Linked DNA regions of Oryzias latipes. The protein of the gene in region 2 interacts with the protein of the main gene of each other region in a biochemical or structural test. Links are inferred from orthologs where the notes say so. Each region holds a gene or a part of one and is shown on either strand. Other genes may lie near its edges.

Evidence for each region.
Region 1: the proteins of protein argonaute-2 (region 2) and dicer1 form a complex in vitro, tested with the Homo sapiens proteins (2 studies listed by BioGRID and IntAct). The link is inferred for Oryzias latipes from reciprocal best matches to the Homo sapiens genes AGO2 and DICER1.

Annotation. Positions count from the first base shown.
Region 1 is NC_019880.2:4,303,535-4,307,188, forward strand, and holds part of dicer1 (endoribonuclease Dicer), read right to left. Parts: intron 1,205-3,654; 5' UTR 1,124-1,204; coding exon 1,010-1,123; intron 927-1,009; coding exon 764-926; intron 696-763; coding exon 565-695; intron 1-564. UniProt on the Homo sapiens protein: Double-stranded RNA (dsRNA) endoribonuclease playing a central role in short dsRNA-mediated post-transcriptional gene silencing.
Region 2 is NC_019869.2:10,709,197-10,712,850, reverse strand, and holds part of protein argonaute-2, read right to left. Parts: intron 2,845-3,654; coding exon 2,660-2,844; intron 2,054-2,659; coding exon 1,894-2,053; intron 1,761-1,893; coding exon 1,670-1,760; intron 1,411-1,669; coding exon 1,216-1,410; intron 1-1,215.

The DNA of each region.
Region 1 (3,654 bases), on a different chromosome or scaffold from region 2:
AAACATCATTCCCATTTCATTGCAACAGTTTAAAAATTATACTCCAAATGACCCTCATCGACATGGGGGACAAACGTCAGGGTGGCTAACCCTGGTCCTCAAGAGCCTCAACCCTGTCTGTTTTCCAATTCTCCCTAGACTGCTCGATAATGATAACCAAAATCCGGTGTGTTCCGTCAATCAGGATGTGAAATCACTTGAGTCAGCCAATCAACAGCAAGCTGGTTAAGGAGAGCTGGAAAACAGGCAGGGTTAAGGCTCTTCAGGACCAGGGTTAACATTATAGGCCTCCATCTGATTGGTCAACACTGGGAAGGCGTCCATCTGATTGGTCAAAGCATAAAGGGATTTATTTGATCCGTTAAATGCTTCAAGCTGCTAGAAGATTGTTTTAACACATTTTGGGTTTGCGATTTATTGCGATATTCGCCGTCTTTTGCGATATGCATATTGCAGAGCTGGATATTGCGATAACGATAAATTTGCGGTATATTGTGCAGGCCTAATCAGGAGACACATGAACCCTCGCAACTGGTTTTCACCAACAGAACAGAAAAGAAAAACCTGATTGTCTGCGATCTCCCGACTCCAGCGCTGGCGGCTCCACGTCGTGGCCTCCTGCGGGTCACTATACTCCCCCACATGGAGGTCAGAGTGCGTCCTGACTGCAGCTGCTTGCTGGACCGCAGACGAGGCTGCAGCACACAGACCCACGTCAACGTTTTCATGCAAACATTCCAGACCTCTGATGTTCTGCACCTACTTGCGTTTGCCAGGAAAACCGTCCTTCTGGCATTTTCTTGGTAGCTTCCCCGGATTTGATGGGAGAGCTCTTTTGTGAGCAGCACTGCAATAAAAGTCTTCCCTGAGCCAGTGTTCAAGCAGACGATGGTGTTGTGCTCAAGAGCTGCTTCAAGAAGTTCTACCTAAGAAGCACAGAGCAAACGGTGTCACATGACGAGCATTCGCACCACAGAGCTGGTCCATGCGGCGGCGCCGCCCGCCTTGCCTGATATTTCCTGGGTGTGTAGATGTTGTCATGGATGGCCTCCTGCTGCCACGGGAGACCGAAAAAGGGCCCCATGGGTGATGTGGCAGGGGTGATGAGCTGCAGACCCGCCATGCTTTAGAGGGGAGGTGAAGGGGCTGTGCTCCTCCAGTCGTCCTCTTATCTCATTTCATCCTCCTTCCTTTATCCGGTTCACTGTCAGCAGAAACGACAAACTCAATTTTTTGGTGTAAAAAAACAACTTCCGTTTGTTTGTTGGTTTTCCTGTTGCATCTGTTTAAGTGCTGATTTTACTAAAAGGTTGTTTAGTAGGTGCATTCCAAAATATAAGTTATTAAAGATGAACAATATTTGTCACTGCAAACAATTTCAAGCTTAAGGATTGCTTATCATTAAAGATTGAGATTTTTTTAAGGTGTATTCAGACTGGAAAATCCTTACGGATCAAGTCCCGATCCTTGCGTTTGGTCTGTATTCAGACCGGCATCAAGCGACCCATTCTGTTACGGACCAAAGCTTACACACAAAACCACATGACTTAAGATCTATTCAGTGATTGGCCAGGAACTACGAGGGCGAGTCAAAACAAATGAAAGACGGGCGTGCTGCGCTTTACAATCCTTTTCGGGACAGTTAAACTTTATATTTTAGTTTTGAACATCAGTTTTGACCACTTTTTACTTCTTACTTTGGTACAGGGAGGCATGCTGTAAGGCGGTTACTGGTAAACAGTAACCGTGTGCCGTGTGAGCTTTAGCTCAGAGGATGCTAGCAACTGTAGTGATGAGCAGACGACAGGTAATTCAATTCAATTTTATTTGTATAGCCCAAATTCACAACAACAGTCGTCTCAATGGGCTGTGTACCAGTAATTGTAAGGTAAACATGCAATCAAAAAGGATTATAAATGCATAGAATTCAATGGGAGAATACTAAACTTTAACTAAACAGACTACACTAAACTGGCATCCCTGCCTTAGACCCTCCTTCTCTGTAAGGAAAAACTCCTTAAAAAAACAGATTCCGAAAAAAAACCCAAAGAAACCTCAGGGGTGTCCGCATGAAGGAGGGGTCCTCCCCCAGGACGGACAGGCGTTGTACCAGAACTCAGAGAAGAATTAACTTATCTAACTCTACAACTACATGACATATAGATTGTCTGGAAAACAGTGAGAAGCAATGTGTGTCACGTCAAAGGATGTTTTGATGAGCCTGCATTCATCCGATCACACATTTTAATGAGTTGTGTTTCATGGTTGTGGTTCTATTAAGGAAACTTCAAGGTAGCTTTTAGGGTGACATCACAGCAGCGCCAAGCGCATGCCACGTAATGAGAGATGGGAAAGAATGTAAGAGGCGTTTTCAGCTGTGTTAAAATAAACGTTCTAACTAGTAAGGAGTTGGGGCCTTTCATTATTTTACATTTGTCTACGCCTCATCGGTTGGTACATTCCTACTGTGTTTACATCACATGACCACTGGTCATGGTGGCCGTTTTAGTTGTTCCGCTCCGAGGACAGATTGAATTTGGACTGAGGAATCTCAGAGCGAACCGAAGCCCAGTCCAATTGGAAACAAACCGAGACCACCCCCAAAGATGGGTCGGAGAGCGGTCCTGGAGTCGGACCAGGGTGTATTTAGACTGAAATGTTGATCTGGATCATCAGGGGAAACAAACTCTAGTTCACTCAAAGCGAATCAAATGTGTCCGGTCTGAACGCGCCCTCAAGTTCAGCTGTTTTTGCACGAGTCTAACAGCAAAGTTGTTGAAGATACTCAGTTACTTAGTTTAGTGACATTTAAAAAAAACGTTTAAGTCTGGATCCCATAACTCGACTTTATAACAACAGAAAAGATTAAACAATCTGATGCTGTGGCCAGTGATGAAGTTGCTGCTGATGTAAGCCAGCTCGGGGTCTTGGTTTTTCCTCACATTTAAAATGTAACTCTGGATTCTCTGATACTTTTATGGCTCCAATCTTGAAAAAATGTTTTAAGAAATTAAAAATCCTCCACTTGTCATTCAACAAAATTTATTTTATCAAAAAAATAAATAAAGGCAATTCTTTTGCTTAAAAAAAAGCAACCAACATATCAACTTTTGTACCAATACTTTGAAACCCTATTGGATTTGACTTAATAAAAACATCTAAACCAGGGGTCGGGAACCTATCGCTTGCGAGCCATATATGGCGCTTTTGACGGCCACATCTGGCTCGCAGACAAATCTGTAATTATAAAAAACTTTTTTCACTATACCAGTCCTTCTCGGGTGCGATGCGATGCCAGAGGGGTGCGCAGTAGTACCAGTGCTTGGAGAAAGAAAAAAAATCTGTGCCAAGATCAGTTTACTATTATTTCACAGAGTTTTTACCAGCCGGGAACCTGCGAATTGCCGTTCCTGCAGCTGCGGGCTCCCGTGAGTAGTCTTTCTCACATCTGAAGAACATTAAGACCATCCTACCATGACGTTAAACGGATGGAAGTCTCAACGCCTGCAGGAAACTGAAACTCACGATGTATCAACCAGACTAGACCATCAGCAAAACCACCATGCAGCACCAGAAGTCACATTAATGCTAAGAAATACTCATCATTTACTAGCAACAGCATAACAATGTTATTAAAAAGAATCCACATATTTC
Region 2 (3,654 bases):
TCAGCACAGCTGAAAAATAAAAAAAATGTACCCCCTGTACCCCATGAGTAGAGGGGTGTCAGTCTGACGAGAAGGGAAAGTTGTTGCTTAATTAAAAGTAAATTACAAAGGGTACAGACACCTCTTTAATGTCATCTAACTGTAAACTCAAATTTAAAGGACAGATTTACTAAGCAGAACCGTTGACGTCAGATCTTGAAGAATTTTGCCCCGGGGCTCGTTTAATACCGGGGCTCGGTACCCATCCCTAGGAAAGGGGCACGGTGGAGAACAATCACCAAAGCGGTTGCTTTGCATACAGCCAAAGACATGGTACCCATGTATACCGGGGAGAAGTTGGGGTTTGTTAATTTAATTAAAACCTTAGACCCCAGATATGAGCTGTATTGTTAATCCTTTAGAAAATGCTGCTACTCTCAAGGTGAATGTTTGTCTACTTTTAGTCTAGACTACAAAGTGTGACTGAAAATACAGCTGGGACTTTGATTCCAAGAGTGTGTTCATTTATTTACTATTCATCCCAGAAATGGAGGTTACATTTGTCTTCCGTTTCATTAAATAAAAGCAAAATTTGCTTTAAGTTAGGCCTGGGTAGAAAAAATTGATTGAATGAATTACTTCAAATTTTTTGTTACGGGCGATTTCAAAAATAACTAAATTGAGTTTTGTGTAATGGCGCATTTTTGGCTCCCCAGAGCTTCCGTAGCGTTAGTTTCACACAGCGGTATGGCCAGCGACAAACAACATCATACCACCAGAAAACAGCAAGCGACAACATGGCTAGCGGTGAGAGTGGAACGTTTGTTCCCAAGAAAGGAATAAAATCATCTGTTGCTTGGAACTGGTTAGTTTGCTGCCACAGACGTGTGGCAGCAACATCTGTGCCCCCCCACGCTGCAACATTTGCCTAAAGCCCATCGCAGTCAAAGGCTCTCACTCACTTTAGCGAGGCACGCCTATACAGTTAGTTCATTAGTTAGATAGTTAGTTGTTACTGTTATTTGTTAATAAAGAATACTGCGTTGTAATTATTACTTGTACTGGTCTTCATTTGAGACACGGCTGCCAGAGGATTTTTGGGAAAAGAAAATCTGGATTTTCCCAAAAATAAATCGTCCATAACAACAAATTTGAAAAAATCAATAAAATCAATTTATCGCCCAGCCCTAAGACACAAAATTCAAAGTTTTATGGTCAATCCTTTACAAGCATTACCTGGTTGAACTGGCCCTCAGAGATGCCATCTCGATAGTAAATGATCCGAGTGGGCTTGAAGCGTGTGGACTTGTAGAACTGGATCAGCAGCTCCCTCACCATGTTGGCCAGGTCTTGGATGATATCTTGGCGGTGCTGCTGCACTCGCACTGTGGCACAGTATCGACTGGGATGAGCATCCATGCTACCAACCACCTACAGAGCAGGAAAATAAGCTTTAAACGTCAATTTAAGCAGTGTACTGTAGATTATTCATGGAACTACAGACAACAACTTCAATAAATACGCTTTCAAAGCTGCTGTACAATTATAGTTGGTCAAGCAGGAGCAAACTACTGGTCACCTTGGAGCAACAGTCATTTTGGACATAATTATGAAAGGGAAAAACTAATAATAGCAGTGACATTTACATGATCTAGTAAATTAGTAAAAGATGAATTTGAATGTCACCCACAGCAGCAATGGAAGGTTTCTTTCCATCTCCAGCAGGGGGATGAGTCACATCTGAACCCAGGAAAATCACAGGCTGCTGGAAAACCATGGGCCTGGAAACGGAGGAGGCAAAAGCTCCAAACATTAAAACACAGCATGGAGTATTTTTAAGCCTCAAAAGAGTAAGAACAAAAGGCAAAATACACATTTTACTGAGGAACGAGTTAAAATGAGTCGTCACTTTACCTGCCCTGAGGGAGGAGGATGTTGTTGACTCCACCCAGCTTGACATTGATCTTCAAGCAGAGGTTGGAGAGAGTCTGGGGTGTGGTCTTCTGCACATTTTTGACCTGCACACACTGAGTCGCCATTCCAAGTACTGTATCCCCGACACGCTTCACCTCAGCTAGGAAATACACAACGTCAGAAAGATGTAAGGAATACTTTTTTTTTGCATCATAATTAGTGTACACCTGTTTAATGATCCCTTTAGAAAGACACACACCATGAGGGGCTCCACCTTTTCTTTTTACATCATAGTCCATTTAAACTAATATTAACTCATTTTAGCTTGTTAATTCCAGTAAGTTAAAAAATATATATTTTTCCATGGGGAATTCTACCACTTTAAATCCATAACATTACTTTTAACCACAAATCTTCTCTTTCATGTTGAACTGAACAGTTACATTAATAAAAAAAACCTGATCTTTTTAAAATACAAATCTACCTTTGACCAATTATGCATCGTTATAATCTTACACAAAACCGGATGTAAGAAAATTGCATCCATGTCCAACTCAGTGGGAGTGAAGAGAGTTCGCTCTGAGACTGGAGGGTCGTGAGTTCAATTCTCCTCTAAAAGATGGGACCCAATGCCTCCCTGCACCACATTCAGCATTAAAAGAGTTGGATTGGGGGGTTTAACCAACAAATGGTTCTGTCTGGGGCTCACTGCTCCCCCAGGGGATGGATCAAATGCAGGGAACAGATAAGCGGGACTTTAACTTACCATAGACGGGTGTCTTTCCAGGGAGGATGACCACCACCAGCTGAAGTCCCTGGTAAGTGTACTTGAGGTGTCTGAACATGGGCTCCACGCTGTCTGCTCCCTGGGCGTACTTGCAGAAGCATGGCTGACCTTGGATGGGCATCCCAGCATCGCGAGAGATCTTCCTTAGCTGATCAGTAAAAGCTCTGAGGAATAAAGACAGAAAATGGTTCAATATTTAAAAAGCCTTTGGACTCCGTTAAGCTTCAAATGAGAATCTACCTCGTCCAGCAAAGAAAAACATTTACTGTCAACAAAAACTTGAGCGTTTTAACCTCAAAAACTCTTCTTGTTTTTTTTGTTGTTAATTTAAAATTTTAAAGATTTCCATAACTTAAGACTACATAAAATAAATAAACCCCTTGATGCCTGAATTAATGTCCTGCTATGGAAAAAATAAAAAATAATTTTGCTTTCATGCAAATGCTCGATTAAAGTAGATTTGGAGCCGAAGTATCCTTATTATCAGTATCTTGATCCATATTTGCATCAATAGGCGTCAAGGGATTAAAGGGTCATTACCAATCAGTGCACTGTGAGAATCAGCTACACAAATCCTACAAGCACTCCCACTCCCACAAAGCCTCACAGACAGAACTGGACTGGATGCACAAGCAAAAACTGACTAACAGGACTTTTCTTAAAGCTCCAGAGTTTTGGGATTTGTTTCAGAAATCTCCGATAAAACAAAGATTTTGAGCTTTGTGCATTTCAAATCCGGCTGCAGAATATTTTGAGAAAAAATTTTTTTTAATCTCATTTTGAAAGTTTTAATTATTCTTTTTAAAACGTATAGCAGTAACTTTTGCTCCATATTGTTCCGCATTCACATCTTCGAGTGTTGGAGCTTAAAGTGCACCACATCATCTCGACCACACATGCTCCAATCGTGTTTATGAGTGGATTTTCATCAAACCAGTTTGGTGGGACACAAACATGACTTTTGAAGAGGATGC